Chlamydomonas reinhardtii: one gene and its partners. The protein of the gene in region 4 binds, or shares a complex with, the protein of the main gene of each other region. Links are inferred from orthologs where the notes say so. Each region holds a gene or a part of one and is shown on either strand. Other genes may lie near its edges. The genes, in order: CHLRE_04g217550v5, CHLRE_12g515650v5, CHLRE_12g498100v5, CHLRE_13g564250v5 and CHLRE_16g676314v5.

Region 1 (4,028 bases), on a different chromosome or scaffold from region 4:
GAACCAGCGCCGCGCCGCCCAGACCGCCGCGAGAAAGCCACGGCACACGCGCCAGCGACGCTGCCAGCCGCCGACCGCGCTTCGACTGCTGCAACTGCTACTGCTATCCCTGCTGCTGATGTTACTGCTGCTGCAGGGAACGTGTCCGCAACAGCTGCCGCCGCCCCCCTCTGTCACTGCCAGCACTGCCAGCAACGCTGCAGCCGGCAGTCGCCGCTGCCGCGACGCCGCCGCGACGCCGCCGCGACGCCGCCGCGTGCCGAGCCGCGCGCCAGGGGAGCCGCCCGCCTCCTCCATAAATGCCCGCCCCCCTCTTCCCGCTGGACCGACGGACTGTGCGGCGGGAGCGGCCGGGCCTGCCCCGCCCCCCTGCAGCTGCGCCTGGCTCCTTGTCCAGTGCGTCCACTGCTACTCCAGCGCCGCCATGCAGTGCCCCTGCCTGTCTGCTGCTGCTGTGGCGGCGGCTGCGGAGGCGGCGGCGCTGCAGGCGGCGGCTTGCAGTCCAGCACCTCCCTCCCTTCCTCCCGGCACTGTAGGTGGAGGCGCCGCCGCAGCCGCTGTGGCGGAGGGCCAGGCCGTAGCAGCAACAGCTGCTGCTGCACCGTAGCGCACCTTGCCGCGCAGGCGGGCATGCCAGCGCGCCAGCCCACGCCAAGCCATACGCCGCCGTGCCAGCCGCGCCACTGCCGCCGCTGGTGCGCCCGGTGCTCTCCCGCCCCCCAAGTCCCTCCTGCCGCCAGCGCGGCGCCGCCCGCCGCTGCCTGGCAGCGGCGCCGCCACAGCCGCAGCACACAGCCACGGTGGCAATCGGGCGCCTCCGTAACCCCCAGCCATAACCCCTGGCCAAAGCCCCCTCCGCGAGCCGCGTCGCAGTAGAGCCCGCCCTCAGCTTGCAGTCACACAATGCGGCAATACCGTCGCTGCTGTTGCTGCTGCTGCTGCTGGCGCCATTGCTGCCGTTGCTGCTGCCGCTGCCGCTGACGCAGCTCCCGCTGCCGCTGCTGCTGTGCAAGCGGGTAGCTCTCCGCGCTCCTTCGCCGTCAGCTGATGGGATCCCAGCGTTGCCACCAATCTCGGAGCTCCACGTCTCTGCCAGCCCGTACGTGCCGCCGTTCCCCGTCCCGCCTACGCCCTCCCCCTCCTCCGCCCAGCCCGCCCTCCCCCGTCCGCCTCCTCTACCTGGCCATGACGATCTCCCTCATCTTGCGCGCCACCATCTCGTAGGTGATCTCCTTGGGGTCCATGGTCAGCAGCTTGTCCTTGGCCTTGGCGGCCAGGGCGCCCTATTGTTATGGAAGGCCAGGGTTGCGTATGGAGGGGGAGCGCGTGGGGGTTAGCAGTAGCGGGGGGAAGGGTTCCAGGCATATGGTTAGTCAGACGATGGCAGTGACGAACAGAGTAGCAGTTGGCAGCACATGTCCAGGCAGACACACGGTACACGAAACACAAATGCAAGCGCACCTGCTTGCGCTCCTCGGCGTCGCGCTCGTCGTCGCTGCCGCTCTCGCTGCTGCTGCTGTCCGCCTCCGACACCTCGTCCTCCTCGTCGGGGTTCTCGCGGACCTGTGGCATGCGCAGGCGTTTCGCAGCATTTAATGGGGTGTTGCAGAGTCTGAGGCACGCATCCTCCTCCCGCACACGGTGGCCCGGACCCCCGCAGCCCGCTGCCGCTCTGCGTGCGCTTCCCCCCTATCTTTCCATTGCTGACCCCCGGCCGACCTTGTTGAGCTGCTCCAGCAGGGGCGTGTTGTGCTTCTTCAGGCGCTGCTTCATGGTGTTCAGCGCCTTCGCGTTCGTGGACGACATCTTCTTCTTCACCAGCTCCTTGTTCGCCAGAGTATCATTCAGGTAATCCTCCAGGTCAACCAGCAGCTTCAGGTACACGCGCGGCAGCATCGGCCCAGACAGGAACTTGCGCGTCTTGTCAAGGCGCGCGTTCAGCGTGTCGAACAGCTCCTGGATAGCGCTCCAGTCGTTGATCTTCATCTTGTTCTGTAAATACACAATAGGAATGCAGCCGCAGCGTGATAGACGCTCAGAACGCCGGTTTTCGCGCAAAAAAGCCTTGCCGCATCTCTCCCGCCACACCGTCGATCGTTCCCCGGCGCCCCGTGGCCACCCCATCGCTCTGCACATTTCCAGTCGAAGCTCCAGGCCTCACCCGGATGTCCTCAGCGGTTTGCGCGAGCTCGCCCATGCGCTTGTCCTTCTCGCTCTTCACCACGCGGCGATCATTGTCCGAATCCGAGTCGCTGGACCCAGCCAAGAACCTGAAATCATAGCATAAACACAAAAACGGTGAGCGCTGGGCGATGCACGCGCAGGGCACCTCGGCGGCTGCGATGTGCTCACTTGTTGGGCCCGTCGTCGTCGGAGTCGGAGTCCGAGTCCGAGTCGGAGTCAGAGTCCGAGTCGCTGTCAGAGTCCGACGAGGAGCTGTCGCCGGAGGAGGAGCTCTTGCCCTCCTCCTCGCTGCTCTCCTCCTCAGTGGTCTCCTCCTCCTCATCCTCGCTCTCGCCGCGGCCCCAGAACTTAGACTGCAGAGAAAAAGAAACTCCAGATCAGCAAAAGGCAGCGCCGAGGGGAAGAGCGAAACGTCCTACCATTTTTCGATCTAGTCGGCGGCGCGAAAAGAGACTGTTGTGATAAATGCAAGTGCGGACTTTGCCGCAAATGTATCCTAACAAGTAGGAAAGGACGGGTGCCGGTTCAGGGGAAGCGGCTTCTGGTGGAGGGGCTGCGATGCAGCGCGCGCGGAATGATGGTCTGTCTGCTCCCTGAGCCCTGGGCTGCTACAGACTGCACAGAAACCACTGCTAGTTAATTCAATTATGTGCGTGTTAAATGCACCAAGGTCGTCCTGGCACGGTGGCACGCCTCCCCTGCGCCTGCCCGGTGGCAACCTCCATCGCCCCCACCACACCCCTGCCACCCTCAGCACAGTAAGCAGCGCGAGGACGACACTCCACTGCAGCTGCTGTTATCTTCGCTCTCCGCTGCACCTCGCAGCCCGCCAGCCCGGCTGGGCGTTCGGCTGCGCGTTCGGCTGCCTTCGCCGCTGCCTTCGCCGCGTGCGTTGGCCCCAGGTCTGACTTCATCATCTGCTGCGCTGTGGCCCACTGCGGCGCGACTCGTTGTTCTGCGAGCGCTGCCGCCAGCATTCCTATGCCCCGGCCGTGCTACTTATGCTTGCACCACCTTCGTCATTTCCTCCCGTCGCAACAGCGCCGCCTGCAGGAGGAACAGCGAGGCTGCGAGGAACAGCGAGGAAGGCCTGCTGTGTCCGCCCACCCGCCACTGCTGGTGACCCGATGTGGGGGTCCCTACAATCCCCGGCCCAGGGACCCCGAACGCCGAGGGCTCCAAGCGTCGCCCCATACAACCACGAGGCCACGAGGCTAAAAGGGCGCCCCCCCCCCTGCACACGGTGCGTGGCTCTCTGTCAAGAAGGAAGAGGCACGAGCAGTGCAGGGCAGCGGGCGTGGCAGCGGCGGCGGCGATGACGACAGGTCTCTCGGGGCAGTGACATGCCTGGATTTGGTACTTCGTACCGCATTACGCAATACGCATGTACTCATGTTGCCGGCTTCCGGCGTGCCGCAATCACGGAAAGCACACAGCGCCCACACACCACTGACAGCACCTCTCTGGACTGCCCAGCCGACCCGCCGTCAGCTGCCCCGCCCCCTGAGGCTCCTCAGCTCCTGCCTTTGCCACGTGTTCTCTTGTTGCTTTGTCCTCATGCCTCATGAGCACAGCCCCCTTCCCCTCCGTCCAGAAGCCACCACACAAACGCTGCCATGGGTACCGTGCCCTCCAATCCCAGCCTCCTGCGTCGTCACTCCACGCCCGCCGCCGCCAACACCAACCGTGTCACCGCCCCCACATCCAGACGGCTCGCCACCGCCACCAGCGCCCCTTCCTCCCCCTCCCTCCTCACTGCCCCGGCTGCTTCCCCTCTCCGACCGCCGCCCACGCTAGCCGCCGCCGTTGATGCGGCCGCTGCCGCCGCCTCCGCCACCGCCACC
Region 2 (3,960 bases), on a different chromosome or scaffold from region 4:
GGGAGAGATGAGAGTGAGGAGGACGGACGGCGCGCAGGGCGCAGGAAAGGGTGACAAGGGTGCAGGAACGGGCTTCGCAGTAGTGGAGAGTAGAACGCTGCTGGCAGCACCTGATGGCGAGCAAGCGCAAGGGCGCAGACCCACTCACTCCGTATGGTAATGCTCTCCTCCTCTCCATCCTCCTGGGATGATGATTTCACGGCAGCTTTGCGTCTGGATACGCGCTTCTTGGGCGCCTGCAGTTCCCCATCAGGAGCCGCCGCCGCTTCCGGGCCCCCCTCTGCAACTGTCTCGGCTGCTACCTTAGTGCGACGCGTGCGCGTAACTTTTGGCTTTGCTGCAGCTGCGCTATCACCTCCAACCTCTGCTACTCCGGATGCTGAAGCAGCGGCCTCTTCGCCCGGCTCGGCAGCCTGCGCCTTGCGGCACGAGGCACGCTTCTTGGGCACAGCCGCTGCCGCCTCGGCGTCGTCCTCACTCGGCCCAGACGAGGGGTCCAGCCCTGCCTCAGTCGCGCTGTCAGTGGCAGCGGTCTTGCGGCTAGCCCGCTTCTTTGCCACTGGTACATCATCGCTGCTGCCGCTGGGCACGGCGGCGGCCGCGGAGGTTGCCCGGCGAGTGCGTTTGGGCTTGGGCGGCTCGCCGCTGGCACCGTCTACCGCTGGCAGGGCGCTGTCGCTATCAGCGGCAGACGAGGCAGCGGGGAAGCTGCGGAATCTGGGGATAGGTGCTATTGCAGACCACCTGTTGAAGGTCTGCAGCAGCGGCAGCGCCTGCCGCAACCGGAGGAGCATTGTGGAAGGTGACAGGACGCGAAGGGCGGGGCTGGCGCACGACGCTCCTCTTGATCGCTCGAGCGCCCGGCCCCTGCAGAGCCGCTCAAGGCGCGACAGTCTCTCCTAAAGCACGCGATAATTGTGGGGTTCGCGGCGTGTTCGGAGCAGGGAGAGAGCTTGGCGAGCTGTCGAGACGCGCGCTATGCAAGAAATCAGTTTCCCAGTGCGTGTATACAGCTTTACGTTCGTAGCTCATGCAGTATCGTTGCACTTCACAGACTAGAGAGTGGATTCTACCGCTTCGGAGCCCCATCATCGGCCATCGCAGCGTCGCATCCCAGGGTGAGCATCCACTTGTCTTGGTTTTCTTTTACGTTGACACTTCCTTTCTTTACATACCAGTTAAAATGTCTCTTATCGTGACTGGTGCTGATCGTTACTCGCCGGACAAGCTGCCACAGCTTGAGGCGTATGTTGATGAGCAGGTAGATCTGTATTTCTTAGCAGCCCGTTTAGTCCCCTGGCCCCTTGGTGCCAGCACGGCGACACATGCTCGGCGGCGGCAATTTGCGCTGAAAGCGTCCTGCACTGCTGCAGGTCGCGAACCGCTCATGGAGCCTGGATGCTAATGTTACGCTGCTGCGCTTCTACCAGTTCAGCCCGGCCAGCGTGAAGCCTGCCATTGTCGCTAAGGTGCTTATCAAGGCGATCATGCAGGCGCCCGCGCAGGACTACAAATGCTGCATCACGCTGCTTCCAGAGCGCCTGCTGCAGGTGTGCGAAGTGCAGTGGAATGGCGTTTAAAGCGTCAGGGCCTGGGGGAGGGGGTGGGTGGGGTGGGTTAGGGGCCGCACCGTGGGGTGCCGCCCAAGACACGCGGGGAATGCTGTGGCACCTTCATGGCTGTTTCCACACCTCTCCTGTTCCACTATTGCTCCATCCGTTGCACGAACCCTGCATTGCTGCAGTCTGACGAGTCGGTGTACAAGGTGGTGCAGCTCGCAAACGCGCTGGAGACCAGCCGCTTCGGCGACTTCTGGAACGCGGCCAACACCTGCCGCGACCTGCTGGGCGGCAGTAAGTGCAGCGCACGGGGACCTGGCTGGAGTGGGAGCCACTCAGCTAGGACGCAGGGGTTTTTAAAGGCAACGGATGCGGAATCAGAGGCAACAGAGGCGCCCCGATTGCCACACGTCACGAATGCCAATTAAACCAGCTCTATCTGCTGCTCTGCTGCAGTCCCCGGCTTCTACGAGTCGGTGCGCGGCTTCATCGCGCACACGCTGGTGCACACCTACGGCCGCGTGACCAAGCGCACGCTGGCGGACTGCCTAAAGCTGGAGGGCGCCACGCTGGAGCAGTACGTGAGTGATGCATTGCGCTTACGAGTTTCTTATGGGGGGGCGTGGTGGCGGCAGTGTCTCCGTGTGCGTTTACATGTGAATGGTGCGCAGTAAGCAGGGCTGGGTTGGGTAGAAAGGCGTTGAGGAGCGTCGCTTGAGGACGTGAGCGAAAGGGTTAAGCTGTGTGCATACGGCGGGGTGGGAGATTGTGACGCCGGCTTGAAGGTCCCTTCGCCAGTGCGCCTCATCAGCTAGCATCAGGGTAAAAACGCGCCTGCTGGCTGCTTGCTTCTGACCACAGCTGTCTGAAAAGTGCAAGTCGGCTGGCTGGAGCATTGTCAACACGCCCGCTGGCGAGGTGGTGGGGCTCCCCAAGAAGTGAGTACAGGCGCAGAATTCTGGACTGGCCTGCGGAGGGGGCGGGGTCTGCTGGCATTGCTAGGATGAGGGGCCGGGAAGCGGGGCACGCGGGCACACCGTGGGCGCACGCAGAGCTGAAACAGCTGATCGAACATGGTAACATGTTTGGTGCCTCCTGTGCCACATGGCATGATAGCGCCGCGACATCCCATGTCCACCTGCCCACCTCCAATCCTGCCGCACCTGTACTCTGGAAATGCACACCCCGCAAACAACCTCTCCTCCTCCATCAACACTCACCTACATATCGTGCTTATCTAGTATCAGATTGTCCTAAAAACTGGGGTTGTACCCCAAGTGCTACAAGCTCACGCCATTCATGGCCCTCCTGCCCTGTATTACGCCCGCGTTCTGCCCGCAGCGACGACAACCAGTCGGTCGTGAAGCGCACCCAGGAGCTCATCCGCTTCGACCAGGTGGCGCCCATGCTCAAGGCCGTGACCGTGGGCTTTTAAATCAACGCTACTACTGAAATTACTTGACGACACGACCATGACAGCATGACACACAACCATTACTGTCAGACTCTTCTAGGCATTAGATAGAAGACCGTTGGATCCCGGTATGCCCATCGGGTTGTAGACTTGAGTGCGTGAAGGGCATTCGTTGAGAAGCCGTGCCCCGCCTTGGGGCGGTCCGCACACGCATGCGAAGGCATCGCAGAAGGCGTTACTGTACTGACTTTGTTCGGCGGTATGGCACCCCATTACAAAGGAGGCTAGCTGGAATAGTACACGGCGCTTATGTAGCCAGCTGCTGGTGGCGTGTAGCGAGCTTAACGGGAGCCATCGCCTTGGCCAAGCCACGACAGCAGCCCCTTGACGGTGCTGCCTAGGTTCTCCGCAGCGGCGACGCTTGCACTGCGCGAGCCACCGCCGCTGCCCCCCGCGCCAGGGCCGCTGGCACCGCCAGACTCGCTGCCGCCTGTAGGAGCCGAGCCGCCGGTGCCGGGGCGCGGCGCGCCTGCGGACGGGATGTTGCTGCCGCTGCTTCGCTGCGGGCTGTTGTGCGCCGGCTGCCCAGTGACGCTGCGCCACAGGCGCTGCAGCTGGTCCAGCGGGCCGGGCGGCGGCCGCTTGGCGATGGATGCAGCGCGCTCGGCAATGTCGGCCTGTGTGAAGAGATGGGGTTAGAGGCGCTTAGCTTGGAGGCACCCACAGGAGTGCCAAGAGTGCGCAGTATGCATGCGCGTGTATTGTGTAACGTAGAATTTGTTTCGCGTCCTTTGCGCCGTTTGCTTGCTTGGCCCAGATATCGGTACTCTCTGATGCAGACACCTTCCGTACCCTGCCCACCTGCGATTGCGACATGTCCTGGTACGCGGTCGCGTGCGCCGCCGCGCTGGCCGCCCGCTCCTCCGCCTCCTTAGCCGCCTCGGACGCCTGGGCCACGCGCGCTTCCGCAGCCACAATAGCGCTCTC
Region 3 (4,219 bases), on a different chromosome or scaffold from region 4:
AGCACCGGCGAGCTACGGCATTGGAAGGGTGTGGGCAATGGAGCCGTGTTGGGGCCGGGTGACCACAGGACATTCACGCGATACCTACCAACGCTTGAGCATACCACCTCGGAAACTCCAGAGTGCAGACTGCCCCCCTATACCAGTCCTTGGCCATCAAGGTTACCGTACCGCAAGCCCCCGTAACCCTGCGAGTGTCCGAACCGACATGAGCCCCACCTGGGCAAAGCCACCAGCGCTGTGACCTCGGGCGCCTTGCCCTTGCGGTGGGTGCGCACCGGCTCCCCGCTGACCATGTCCCAGCACCTCAGCGAACCATCTTCGCAGCCCGCCGCCACCAGCGGGCGACCACCGACGCTCTCAGGCGGCAACGCCACACATGTCACTCTGCACGACAGGCCCGCGGCAGGGACACGCTTGCGAGCAAGTCCTGAGCGGCATGTTGGGGTTCCACTACAGTGGCTGTTCGCTATGCCAGGGCCAGGACGTTGCTGGCACGTGAGGACATGCGCCACCAGATGTGTGCGAAGGCCGCGTCGCGGCTTCAGCAACACGCAGGCCGAGCGCAGGCAGCAAATTGCATGTGCTGCCCGCAATCATCCCGACCCACCCGCTGCCCACCCACTACCTTGCAACCCAAGGCTGTGCGCACCTGCTCCCGCCCGTGGGCAGCATGCGCTGCACGGTGCGGCTCTGCGCGCAGGCCACCACCACCGCGTAGTGGCCGCCATACGCCACCAGCTGCTGGCTCGGCAGCACCGCCACCACCTGGCTGCTGAACCTGTGGGCATGTGAGGCGCATCAGTGACCTTACCAATGGGTGTGATGTGGTCTGACATGTAGGGGCTACGAGCTATGTGGCATAGCGCGGCGCAATCGGCGGTTGACAGTGCGTGCGGCTGTGACCCCGGCCCCTGCTTCCGGAATGCGGGTTTGCGGCCCGTGGGCGCACTGGCTTGAACAGGCCTGACACTCTAGCCCTTGCACCACTTGCAAAACGCATCAAGAGTACAGGAGCAGCGAACGGCGTGGGCAAAGCACGGACGCTGGCTCCCGACTCCCGACTCCGCCTACCAGTTGGGGGAGGGCGGCAGGACCACCGCCGACGGAGCCGCCATTGTCTCGTGATTGGCTGCGCTGTTTCTGGGCTCCCGCAACCCTCACCAGAGTCGCGTAGGCAAGCGCAGAGAAACGCAAGAGTGTGGCGATAGAGATCACGTCATTTCCCTACAGAGAAAGGGAAATGTGCCGATGCCCTATCTATACATACACCTAACCTCTTATGTATTAGTTCGGAGTCCGAAAGCCCGTTTTGAGCGGGCCAGGCCGATGGGCACTCGGACCCCCATCCGGCACAGCGCGAGAGCGGGCTGCGCACCGGGGCGTAGATCGCCCGTTCCTTTGTCATTCCCGCAGCCCCCACCCCATAATTGTTTCACAGCGGACTGGTCAGGCCTTAGGACTAGGCAAGGGGCGTAGCCGCCGCCGAGAGAAAGATGGCTGCCACCAACTATGAGCTTTCTTCCAAGCTGGTCCAGTATCTGGACCTGCACCTTACGCTGCCTATTATGGAATACCTCCAAGAGCGCGGCCTTTACAATGAGGACGACATCCTGCGCGCCAAGCTGGCGCTGCTGGACAAGACGAACATGGTACGCGCTTAGTGTTTAGATCTGGAGACCTGGCACTTGGAATGAGCTATTGGACAGGCTGGGGATGCCGGAAGCGGGAAGGGCAGCTCAGCGAGTGCAGAGGCCATCGGCCTTTCCAGTTTGAGTCCGGGTCGCTGAGCGAAAAATTCGATGTTGTAGGTGGATTTTGCGATGGATATCTACAAGGGCCTAAACGGCGTGGACGAGGTGCCTGCGGAGATGAAGGACCGCCGCAGCCAGGTGGTGGCGCGTCTTCGCCAGCTGCAGGCGGACGTGGACCCCATTATCAAGTGTCTGCAGAACAGGCATGTGGTGGAGAAGTTCCGTCAGGATAAGAGCTTCAACCTGCAGTTCCTCCAGGAGGAGTTCCAGATTGGCGCGGAGCACGTCGAGGCGCTGTATCAGTACGCGCGCTTCCAGTTCAACTGCGGTAACTACTCGCTGGCGGCGGAGCTGCTGCAGTCTTACCGCACGCTCTGCACCAACAGCGAGCGCAACATCAGCGCACTGTGGGGCAAGCTCGCTGCGGAGATCCTCATGCACGAGGCGGTGAACATCCAGGAGGCACGGGAGGACGTGTTCAAGCTGAAGGAGGTCATCGACAACCAGACGTTCGCCCCCCCGCTGGTGCAGCTGCAGCAGCGCACCTGGCTGCTGCACTGGTCCCTGTACGTCTTCTGGAACCATGAGAACGGCCGCAACGACATCATTGACCTGTTCCTCTCCCCAGCCTACATCTCCGCCATCCAGATCAACGCGCCGCACCTGCTGCGCTACGTGGCGGTGGCTGTGGTCATCAACAAGAAGAAGCAGCGCAGCGTGCTGAAGGAGCTCATCCGCGCCATCCAGCAGGAGTCGTACGAGTACTCGGACCCAGTGACCCAGTTCCTGGAGTGCGTGTTCGTGCACTACGACTTCGACGGCGCCCAGCAGAAGCTGAAGGAGTGCGAGGCGGTGCTGGACAACGATTTCTTCCTGGCGGCCTACAAGGACGAGTTCATTGAGAACGCGCGCCTGTTCATCTTCGAGACGTACTGCCGGATACACCAGTCCATCTCCATTGCGCTGCTGGCGGAGCGGCTGGGCATGGACCAGGAGGCGGCGGAGAAGTGGATTGCCAACCTCATCCTCAACGCCAAGCTGAACGCCAAGATTGACTCCAAGTCGGGGACGGTGGTGATGGGCACGCAGTCGCAGTCCGTGCACGAGCAGCTGGTGGACAAGGCCAAGATGCTGTCCGTGCGCACCTACGTGCTGGCCAACACCGTGGTGGGCAGCGTCAAGCCGTAAGGCACCGCGGCGAGCAGCAGCCGGGGGAGGAGGAGCAGCAAGCAGGTGGGAGTTGGAGCCATGGCGGCGGGCGGGATGGGGTTGGCGGGGGCGCGGGGATGCATGTGGGCCAGGGGGTCGTCTGGGGCTTGGTATTGGCGGGAATGGGGTGGAATAGAAAGGCAAGCTCTGGAGGTGAAGAGTGCTGGATTCCTAAGGGATTGGTAGATGGGGTAGCAATTGCATTGGGCAGACGGCTGCTAGGCCCAGTTCCAGCGGTGCTCCGCACGCGGCATGGCAAGGAAGGGGACCCGCGGCCTGGTAACGGACGTGCAACAATTCGCCGGTTGATACGGAAGAAGCCCTGGGAACTGCGAAGAGGTTCGAAAGGTTGACGTGACGAGGAATCACTTTACCTCAAGCTCTGATCGCCATCCATCATTCCCTTTTGCCTTGTAGATTGCGGGCTTGCTTGTGGACGACAGCGGTGTGCAGGGCGCGGTCTGCCGCTTCGGCAGGCGATTCACGACAGCAGCGAGCTTTGAGTTACGGGATTCCGTTGCGGGATGGGCAGCTTTCTACAGCAGCAAGCGTGGGAGCGCTGGCGACGGCTGCTGCACGGATCAGACCAGGAGCGCTGGGCGGAGGGCGCGGCAGCGGGTGTGGGACAGCGCTGGCGAGCGGCGTTCGAAGGTGCTGATGAGATGAGCAGTGACGTAGACGGGCGACAGCGGCTTTGCAATACAGTGAAGGGCGGTAGGAGCGCGGCGGCTGGAATTTGCAGCAGCTGCACGATTATCCCATGGGCGGGGCGCAAGGGCATGCTTGTTCAGCGACGTGAGACGGGGGGGTCGCCCCCTTGGCAGTGTGTTCGCGCGCGCCAGCAGCAGCGCGTGCCGGGGGGCTGTGCAGCCGCGGCTGGCACGGACTCGGCAACGCTTGTTCGGGTGAGCTCATTGGATGGGCTGTCTCGTGCTAGGGAGGCGGTGCATTCGCGTTCCCGTCGGGCTGGTGCGCTGCAGGCAATGGATTTCCTGGGGCTAGGGTCGGCATTGCCCGCTGCTGGTGGCTGCAGAGTGTACCTGGACGGGCACATGCTTTGGATAAGCCTGAGCGTGGACCGGCGTGGGGGCAATCGGCGTTGGCGTAGTGAGGAGCAGATAGGTTCTCGTGTATGCAGGCAGTGTGGCAGTGCGGCAGTCCGCACACGGGCTGTGGATGTAGGTGTGAACGCTGTGCCAACGAGACTGAAACTACGTAGGATTCGGGCTAGACCTAAGAGGACCATTCGGGGGAAT
Region 4 (4,289 bases):
CCGCCGCCAGGTGGCCGCGCACGCGGTCCGCCTCCACGCTCTGCGCGCCGAAGTGCAGCGTGCCGTTGCGGTGGTCCACGCGCATGGTCAGGTAGTCGTACTTGACCGCGTCCACCACCACCGCCTCCACCTCGGCAAAGGTGTAGAAGGGCACCAGCGCCGCCAGCTCCGAGATGCGCATCACGCTGTACACCTCGCTCAGCTGCTTCAGCAGGCGCAGCACCGCCGCCTGCTTGAGAGCGGGCACGTACTTGTCCAGCGCCACGCTGCGCACGGGGGCTGAGCCCGACAGCTGCGACGCCGCCAGCTCCGGCAGCTTCTCAAGCAGCGGCGCCAGCTTCTGGCACAGTTCCAGCGGGTTGAAGTCCTGCGACAGCGCGTCGTGGATGGAGCGCACCTCGGCCGGCACCAGCGACAGCAGGTTGGAGGAGGAGATGGTGGCCAGCAGCGCCTGGCGCGTCAGCAGACCGCGAGCGTCCTTCTTGGCGTCCTGCACGGGCGTTGCCAAGGTGCAGAGGGCAACGGGATGGTGAGCGCTAAGTCAAATGCAGTGTTGTGGGAGATGTGGGGACGCCCATTCTGTACCCCGCGCCTTGCCGTTGATCCCAACCAAGCGCAGTGCCTCTCCATCCAGTAGTCATCTAACCAGTATCGAAGGCGGCCCCTGGACTCACCACGGCGAAGCCCAGGATGGTTGCCATGCGGTTGGCGCGCTCCTTCTCCTGCTCAGCCGCCACGGCGTCCGAGGGTGCGCCGCGGGCGCCGGGCGTGTTGCTGCGCTCGTAGGGCAGGATGGCCAGCGCCGCCAGCAGCACGGCCGTAGCCATCTGCTGGTAGTCGGTCTGCGACATGCCGCGCGCATGCTGGCGGGCGAAGCTAAACAGCTTCAGCCAGGCGAAGGCGTGGTACATGGGGCTGTCCGACACGGCGAAGATCTGAGTCAGGCGCGTGTAATAGGACGCCAGCTGCGGCTGCTTGGGCGTCTGTGGAGGGCGAGCAGAGCGGTGGTGGATATGCGAGCCAGGCGACTGCCGGGTGCGAGCTGTTGTAGCTTGCAGGGTTTGTGCGCGCCCAGCAACCAGCCTCATACCCTGTAGCCCCGGCATGCGTGATGTTGCCAGCCCGGCCCCTCACAGGCAATCATTTCCACCCCCTCCCGGAAACCCGTGCCCCTCCTCCCCCCCTCCCTACCCCTCATTCGGCCTCCCCAGCCCCCGCTCTTCGGCTTCGCCCGCCCACCTTCTTGGTGAGCGAGATGAGCTGCTGGATGTCCTCCACGGAGCGGAAGGCCTCGCCCCACAGCTCCAACTCGCACGCCACACGCAGCTGCTCGAAGCGGCTCTCCAGGTGCATGGTCATGCTCTCCGGGCCGGCGTCGCGCTGCTCGCGGAACTTGCTGCACGGTGGGTGAAGGCGAGGAACAGTTGGTCGCGGTTGGGTATTGCAGCACTTCGGCAGGGCCCTGCTGTAGCGCACTGGCGCAATCCCAGCCCAAGTCTGGAGCCCTTCAACCGGTCTGGAGGCATCGGACGGCCTTTCAAGGGCCCCGCCCGCCGAGCGACCGGCACTCACTTGACCAGGTTAACCAGGTGCTGGCGCAGGATGTCGCACAGGCGCTTGAACTCGGTGGTGCGCTTGTACTGCAGGCAGAAGTGGAAAGCCTTGGTGGCCGTCATGGCATACAGCGGCTCCAGCTTGGGGTTGGTGCGCAGGATCTCCAGCACGCTGCGGTACGACTCCCACAGGAAGCGGAACCAGGGCGTGACCAGCTCGCGGTCGGTGCGGTCCTACGCGGGTGCGATGAGCGGGAACAGGGGGTTAGAAAGGTGGGGGAGCACGCTTGATGCGGATTCGCCCTTCAGTCGCCTCCCCGACGCACACCACCCCACGTCCTCGCCCACACCTCGCGCACACGCGCAGCACTTGCGTACAGCACCCCGACCCCAAGGAACAGCCCAGCGCAGCCCCAGCCCATGGATAAGTGCCCGTTGCTCCCTGCAACCCCACGCACCTTGTTCTTCTCGCCGGAGACATAGCTCAGCATCAGCTCCTCGGGGCTGGCGTCCTCCTCCAAGTCCTCCACGTCCAGTGTCACCGCCTACGAGATTGTATACCGATAGCTTTAGTGCCACGAAAACCAAATTGAAAAGCCCTGCGCTCCAGTGGAAGTTCCCGCGGAAACACATGTACTAGTCGGTGCCAGCAGCGTTAAATAGCCATTCCCAGTAAGAACCACGTATGTTCCATAAACAAACCACAATTCAACATTCCAAGGCACGCTGTAGGTTCGGTCCCGGCCCTCCCGCTCTGGCGGCTCCTCTGCACTCGATCCTGTGCAGGCACCCCAGGCTGCACGCGATCGCAGCCTCCACCCCGCGCTGTGGATCCAATAAACGCAGATCTGAGCCCTGCAGGCGCCTGGCTCACCGCGGCCTTCGCCTGCGCCTCCTCGGCCTTGTCGGCCGCGCGCTTCAGGAAGTGCTTAATGACCTCTTCCAGCGAGTTGATGTTGACCTGATGGCACATATTGCGATACTGCAGCAGCGCCTCCTTGGCATAGTTGCGCTTCTTCATATCCACGCAGAGCTCAACGTGCCGCAGCATGATGGCCTCAAACGTCTTAGACCAAGTGCGGTGCTTCTTGCTGCAAATAACATCGTGCAGGACCTGAAGCGCGGCGGACTTCTGGCCAATAGCCTCAAGCTCGTCGGACCTCTTGAGCGCATTCTCGGGCCTAGCGCTATAGCCGGGGCCACCCCGGTAAACGCGCGCCATTCTGGCACGCTTTTGTCTATGTAAGAAAGTGGTGCAAATATATTGACTGTTTGCTGCTGCTAAGGGAAAACTCCCGCGATGGGCAGACTCCGCCGCAATGAGTCTCGATCTGCTCGCCCAGCCACCGCTCGCCTTGCCAAATTGAACAAGAAACCACAGCAAGTACTTTAAAGCTTTTCTGAGCGCCGACTTCCTGCCTGGCCCTGGCACGCCCGTGTCTTCCCCTGCCCCAACCCGCTCGGCTGCGGGCGTCAGCCGCGATGGGGCGTTGGATGCGTGGGATGCCGGGGTCGGACGACGGGTCGGCCTCCAGTCGAAGGCACTTCCAATGTGGTAAAATGAGAGGAGGGAGGCTTGTGTTGGATAGCAGGGTGCACCAAGGATTGCATGGACCTGAAACCCTGAACTTGACACAGGACTCTCCGCCACCACGCTTATTATCCTACCGATATCCTACGATACCGGTCATTTCGGTGTCAAATTCAAGTGGCTAGCACAGATGCTGCTGGATGAAGGCGCCTGCGTAGCGCGGAACACACTTGCTGGGGTGCTGGCAAGGGGCCCCCTGGGAAGTTGTGGCTTAATCACTCCTTTCTCCACATGAACGGCTACCCCCCTTGGGGGCCCGCCCCGCTACTTAAAACCCCTGCCTACAAGCCCCCCCCGTCTCGGTACAGTAATCCCCGCGATACCGCACACCAGCCGCGCAATCTTGCCTTGATGGCGTTGTAAATTGATTGTTGGGGTCTGGGAATACGCTGTACGCGACGGGACTACGCCAACCTGGCCCTTACGCTGTCCCATCTCACCCCTGCCTACGACTTCATCACTACGAGCCCCACGACACCTGCTGTGCGTGGTTACAGGGGGGTAAGCACCTGACTGGCGGAGAATTGCCTTCAGTCCTGTTCAGGGCAAGGTGCCCATTTCACGCGACAGGCGTGAAGGTGCCCAAAAAACACCTCAGCTGACTACCACTGGCAGGTAACGCAGGTTCTACACACCCAGGAAGCGGCCGTGTGGCCATGTGCGTGACAGCGCGGTGCACGGCAGCCTGAACACCCGCCGGAAGTACCGGTAGCTGGTGCCGAAAGTAGCAGGCGCCTTGTCCATCAGCATTCTCAGTGTGCATGAGTGTCTAAGTAGCCGACTAGCAGTACAACTAGCAAAGAGTGTCAACTTGAATCCCCACCATTGTAAAATGGGCGAGCGGGTGCAAGGTGTCGTCAACTGGCCCGGGCGAAAGTTCCCGTGGGCGGTTGCCTTGGCCCCTTCCTTCAGACCGGAACAAGTGCGGAGGCCTGACAGAAACCTCAATTCAGTAGCCCCTCACAAGCTCACATTCGCACACTTCTCACACTTTACACACTCCCACGGTAAAGGCCCACAGCAGGAGTCCAGCACCCCGGGGGCACCGCGGACTGCTGTTTCCCCGGGCCGTGCGTTCTCCTCTGCAGTCTAAAGCAATGACAAAAAGTGGTTCTCTCTCTCAATGGAGAAGTGGCTGCGCGCAC
Region 5 (4,214 bases), on a different chromosome or scaffold from region 4:
GCTCCCGAAACCCGACGGACCCCCAGGGACGAGGACCGACCCCCCAACTTTGGCGGCCCAGAACTTCCTCACCAGACGCCCCCTTGAAAAACTAAAAGCACGTGCATAATGCTCTCCTTAAGCTCTGTAATTTTGAGCATGGGGTAAGAAATTGAGCTTTCTACCCCCCCCCTGATTTAAAGGCCGTTTGAAGTGTGGGGTGTGCCTGCGCGATTCTCACCCCTCCCCCCTTGGTTTAGTTCAGGCTAATACCTACAAATCCAATACAAGCAGAAATGGCGTCGGCGCATTGCTCAAAGCCGGCGGCTTTGCCTGCAATGACAGTTGCACTGTGGGGCTGCGCAGGCTGGCGAAGGAGCCGTCAGGGGTGCCACTGGGAGGCGCAGTCCCATGTTCCCGTATTAAGCCACGCACACCGACCTCCCATACCCACCCCACGCATCGCAGTCATGAACGGAGGGCACCACACTTAACATATCTGAGCACGAGAACGCGCGAAGATGCCGTTACGCTTACATACCGACAAGGCAGAGCCTGCCGCGTAGGGAATGTGGGCTGTCTTACTTGTACGTGCGCCCATGTTCGCCCTCGCGAGGAGAGTCAACCGTCACGGACCTTGCCGCGGGTTGCACACAGCGACACCTCACAACTTGCACTCCTGCAGTCCTCCTACAATGTCTGATCGTGTACTGGTTACGTCCACCCTCTTAGAGCAACAACACTCTGCACTCGTCATGTCTGCCTATGCGCCGCTAGCTGGCGCGCTCAAAACAGCGCAAGCTGTGTGTGCTTCAACGCGGCCATACCACAAACGCCCCACCCAATCCCATCCCGCCCTTTGTCCCTCAAACTGAGCACCTAATAACTAATGCCACTGGTAGGTGTGCTCGGTAGAGCAGTTGCACCAGACAGCGCCTTCCGCCTTCAAACCACTACAGTCCCACAGCACACACTACGCGCTTCATGTTTGGCCCCTGCAAGCACAGCCTCTGCGACAGCACCCATCATAAGCGGTGCCATCCTCCTGCATCCCGTGTCTGCATCCCGTGGTCATGGGTCTGTACAGCCGAGCCCGCAGCCCCAGCAAGCGCCTGCTCTTCCGCTCGCAGGTCCTCGAGCTTACAACCCCGCCTTCTGCATGCCCTCCATCAGGAACAGCTTTTGAATGGTCTCGCCCGCCGCCACGTTGACCTGGTCGCAGTAGGTGGCGATCTGGTTGGTCACCAGGTAGTTATCCAGCATGGATGGCTCGGGAATGGGCTTGAACAGATTTGGGTCCTCCTCCGGCAGCGGCTCCTGGTTGTCAGCCTGCCGCTGCTGGTTCTCCTGCCGCCGCTTGGCCAGCCACACCGCGTACGCCTGCTGCTGGCGCGCCACGTTCTTGTGGTACATGGTCACCTTCTGCTGCTCCGCCACAATGTCGTCCACGCACTCCAGCAACGACTGGATGTTGCGCTCCAGGAAGGGGGCCGAGGACAGGTTGAGTCGCTCCACGTCCGCCTGGGTCGCGGTGGGGGCGGGCATCAGGTCCGCCACCAGCGCCTGCACCAGGTTGCTGTTGCGGATGCGGATGGGCAGCTCCACGAAGATATCACGCCACGACAGGTTGGCCTCGCGAAAGCCCTTGAGCGTCAGCTTCTGCTCCTTGCTCAGCTCAATGAACGACTCCTTGAGGCGGATCGCCTTGAGCGCGATGCTGCCGCGCGATGAGCGCTGGGGGTCATAGATGATGCACACGCACTTTTTGATGTTCTCGTGGTAGTTGATGAACGTCTCTATGAGCTCCACGGTTTGGAAGGTGCCCATGTTGGCCGACTGGTACCTGTGGGGTGCGGCCCGGCAGGTGCACGGTTCGTAGGCAAGCGCATGGTGCGCAGTCGGGTCCAGCCCTGAAGATGCTCGGCGGCTGCTACCCCGAGGTTCTGCTTGCGGTACTGTCGCGGGTGGCTGATGGCCATGTCGCCCCCAGGCCAGTCTCGAGCCCCGCCAACGGCCGAACGGGCCTCGTGTCCGCAGGCAAGGACTCTGACAGGCGGTTCATACACGGTGGTTGCCGCAGCTAGCGTGCCGCTCATGTAGTGCGCACATGCCCTTGTCCGCTGATGTCCCGGCGGCTAGCATGAGTGCTACGGTACCGTCCCGCCTTGGGGCGCTTCCCAAGGGCGCTTCCCCACGTCAACTCCCCCTCCTCTGCTTTTGCACCTGACTCCTTCCCTCTCCTTTCCCCCGCGAGCTCGCGCATTGACTGCACCCACCAGCCGACGGTGTTGTTGTCCACGTTCACCTCACGCAGGCAGCGCATCATCTCCAGCTGGTAGTTGGCGCCGGCCGACTCTGCCTCGGAGTCATCGTCCGCCACGGTAGCCTGCACACACCCGGCCCACACCATCGCCGATCTTTATTGTGCATATGCATATGCTGATACACGCGACTTTCCCCTGCTATGCGTGCTCGACAACGCGAGCAATCTGGGGGCCGCCCAAAAGTCCGCTTGGCGCCCTCAGCGCCTGCTATCCTCAGCGCTCACCGGGAACGCGAAGCAGTCCGTCACCTCCAGCTGTTGACCAACATCCAGGCCCAGCAGCTGGCCGGTAACGTTCTGGGGCAGCGCCTCAGTGCAATGCTGGATAATCTTCAGCAGCACCTGACCCTCAAGCTGCACCGTCTTCACGAGCTCCTTATGCGGCTTAGGAGCGATGGCCTCCATTTTTCAGCGCCTCTGCAATAAACCAGCGGCCTAAGTCGGCGGCGCCGTGCCTATAAGCAAAGCCTGTTTTTCAAAAGCTAAACACAAGAGTAAACGATACGACTACACGATGTCTACAGTGATCAGGGTGTGTTTGGCTGCAATGCGGGGCCCGATCGCACTTCCATTTGCAATGCAATTTCTCTCAGACCTGAAATGTCAGTTTGCTGCTGTACTTTTCGCGCTTGTACCTTCGTGCTTATGCTGAACAACAACGAGTAGCATCACCTGTGTTTCGAACTAGGATCGTCGCAACAGTCGCCAAAAGCTTGCGCGTTGACGAGGGCGGCTAGGCCTCAAAGTATACTTGGCAGTATGGCGCGCTTGCGCGCGAGCTTGCTGATGGCAGCGCTGCTCGGAAGCGCTGTAGCCCTCGTAGCATCGGAGCGAGTCTTGCTGGGCAGCGACCATAAATTCAAGCCCGGAAGTGACATCATGCTGTATGCAAACAAAGTCGGACCCTTTCAAAACCCGACGTGAGTAGTTTTGCTGCAGCCAGCGGTGCCAGCTCGCGCGCCAACGCGGCGCGATTTTCGCTCCTTGCCTTGCAGGGAAACGTACCAGTATTACAACTTGCCGTTCTGCCAGCCCACTGACGGCAAGGAGTATAAGACGGAATTCCTAGGCGAGGTGCTTGAGGGCGACCGGTTGGTGACAACTCCCTACAAGCTGCAGTTCCGCACCGATGTTGAGAACGCGGTGCTCTGCAAACGCACGCTCACTGCTGGTGACTTAAAGAAGTTCAGGGATGCCGTGAAGCAGGACTACTACTTCCAGGTGCGGCGGGTTGACACGACTGGGACCAGCGGGTGTGCGGGCGCGTGTACCCCAGGACGTGTCCGTCCCGGCCCGGTGCACGCTGCCAGCAACTCCCGGCCTGTACTCGTCGCTGACACCCCATGCGCCGGTCAACACCTCTATTGCGTGTTTGCCCTCATTCGCAGTTTGCCCGCATGTTGGGTTACCGTGTGCATGTTGGGCCTTGCCACCCTGCACACCTGCCCCGCAACCTGTCGCACATACCAGAAGAGGATAGTTCCTGGTGCGCGCCAAAGCACAACAGCGGCTTGACCCGTCATATGCCCCGTCTACCCCAAGAAGTTGCCTTTAGGTTCTCTTTGCGTGCTCCTGTGCGTGCTCCTGTGCGTGCTCCTGTTGAGCGTCGCTTAGGTACTTATCTCTGACCCCGCGGCTCTGACCCCAGATGTTTTACGACGACCTGCCTGTGTGGGGCTTCATCGGCAAGGTGGAGAAGATTGTGCAGCAGGGTACGCACAAGTACTTCCTCTTTACCCACTTCCACTTCGACCTGTCCTACAACGACGACCGTATCATCGAGATCAACGTGTCCAGCGACCCCATGCGCACAGTGGACATCACGACCGCAGACACGCTGGACGTGCAGTTCTCCTATTCGGTCAAATGGAAGCAGTCGTCAGTCACCTTTGACCACCGCATGGACCGCTAC

The links.
Region 1: CHLRE_13g564250v5 (region 4) and CHLRE_04g217550v5 share a complex: the UniProt entries of both Arabidopsis thaliana proteins name them as parts of the eukaryotic translation initiation factor 3 (eIF-3) complex. The link is inferred for Chlamydomonas reinhardtii from reciprocal best matches to the Arabidopsis thaliana genes EIF3A and EIF3C.
Region 2: CHLRE_13g564250v5 (region 4) and CHLRE_12g515650v5 share a complex: the UniProt entries of both Arabidopsis thaliana proteins name them as parts of the eukaryotic translation initiation factor 3 (eIF-3) complex. The link is inferred for Chlamydomonas reinhardtii from reciprocal best matches to the Arabidopsis thaliana genes EIF3A and EIF3K.
Region 3: CHLRE_13g564250v5 (region 4) and CHLRE_12g498100v5 share a complex: the UniProt entries of both Arabidopsis thaliana proteins name them as parts of the eukaryotic translation initiation factor 3 (eIF-3) complex. The link is inferred for Chlamydomonas reinhardtii from reciprocal best matches to the Arabidopsis thaliana genes EIF3A and EIF3E.
Region 5: CHLRE_13g564250v5 (region 4) and CHLRE_16g676314v5 share a complex: the UniProt entries of both Arabidopsis thaliana proteins name them as parts of the eukaryotic translation initiation factor 3 (eIF-3) complex. The link is inferred for Chlamydomonas reinhardtii from reciprocal best matches to the Arabidopsis thaliana genes EIF3A and TIF3H1.

The regions. Positions count from the first base shown.
Region 1 is NC_057007.1:243,926-247,953, reverse strand, and holds the start of CHLRE_04g217550v5 (uncharacterized protein), read right to left. Parts: upstream 2,804-4,028; 5' UTR 2,607-2,803; coding exon 2,604-2,606; intron 2,538-2,603; coding exon 2,353-2,537; intron 2,271-2,352; coding exon 2,162-2,270; intron 1,993-2,161; coding exon 1,720-1,992; intron 1,564-1,719; coding exon 1,462-1,563; intron 1,284-1,461; coding exon 1,180-1,283; intron 1-1,179. Other genes in the region: CHLRE_04g217500v5 (uncharacterized protein), read right to left, coding at 3,839-4,028. UniProt on the Arabidopsis thaliana protein: Component of the eukaryotic translation initiation factor 3 (eIF-3) complex, which is involved in protein synthesis of a specialized repertoire of mRNAs and, together with other initiation factors, stimulates binding of mRNA and methionyl-tRNAi to the 40S ribosome.
Region 2 is NC_057015.1:3,875,238-3,879,197, reverse strand, and holds CHLRE_12g515650v5 (uncharacterized protein), read left to right. Parts: upstream 1-1,155; 5' UTR 1,156-1,183; coding exon 1,184-1,261; intron 1,262-1,373; coding exon 1,374-1,550; intron 1,551-1,744; coding exon 1,745-1,853; intron 1,854-2,015; coding exon 2,016-2,140; intron 2,141-2,420; coding exon 2,421-2,497; intron 2,498-2,900; coding exon 2,901-2,994; 3' UTR 2,995-3,650; downstream 3,651-3,960. Other genes in the region: CHLRE_12g515700v5 (uncharacterized protein), read right to left, coding at 149-794; CHLRE_12g515600v5 (uncharacterized protein), read right to left, coding at 3,679-3,762, 3,835-3,960. UniProt on the Arabidopsis thaliana protein: Component of the eukaryotic translation initiation factor 3 (eIF-3) complex, which is involved in protein synthesis of a specialized repertoire of mRNAs and, together with other initiation factors, stimulates binding of mRNA and methionyl-tRNAi to the 40S ribosome.
Region 3 is NC_057015.1:3,278,600-3,282,818, forward strand, and holds the start of CHLRE_12g498100v5 (uncharacterized protein), read left to right. Parts: upstream 1-1,419; 5' UTR 1,420-1,496; coding exon 1,497-1,652; intron 1,653-1,811; coding exon 1,812-2,942; 3' UTR 2,943-4,219. Other genes in the region: CHLRE_12g498150v5 (uncharacterized protein), read right to left, coding at 1-12, 220-387, 653-781, 1,075-1,118. UniProt on the Arabidopsis thaliana protein: Component of the eukaryotic translation initiation factor 3 (eIF-3) complex, which is involved in protein synthesis of a specialized repertoire of mRNAs and, together with other initiation factors, stimulates binding of mRNA and methionyl-tRNAi to the 40S ribosome.
Region 4 is NC_057016.1:317,037-321,325, reverse strand, and holds the start of CHLRE_13g564250v5 (uncharacterized protein), read right to left. Parts: upstream 2,801-4,289; 5' UTR 2,776-2,800; coding exon 2,428-2,775; intron 2,099-2,427; coding exon 2,012-2,098; intron 1,788-2,011; coding exon 1,573-1,787; intron 1,397-1,572; coding exon 1,240-1,396; intron 984-1,239; coding exon 675-983; intron 491-674; coding exon 1-490. UniProt on the Arabidopsis thaliana protein: RNA-binding component of the eukaryotic translation initiation factor 3 (eIF-3) complex, which is involved in protein synthesis of a specialized repertoire of mRNAs and, together with other initiation factors, stimulates binding of mRNA and methionyl-tRNAi to the 40S ribosome.
Region 5 is NC_057019.1:3,507,404-3,511,617, reverse strand, and holds CHLRE_16g676314v5 (uncharacterized protein), read right to left. Parts: upstream 2,804-4,214; 5' UTR 2,708-2,803; coding exon 2,528-2,707; intron 2,366-2,527; coding exon 2,256-2,365; intron 1,823-2,255; coding exon 1,120-1,822; 3' UTR 501-1,119; downstream 1-500. Other genes in the region: CHLRE_16g675958v5 (uncharacterized protein), read left to right, coding at 3,182-3,222, 3,298-3,523, 3,951-4,214. UniProt on the Arabidopsis thaliana protein: Component of the eukaryotic translation initiation factor 3 (eIF-3) complex, which is involved in protein synthesis of a specialized repertoire of mRNAs and, together with other initiation factors, stimulates binding of mRNA and methionyl-tRNAi to the 40S ribosome.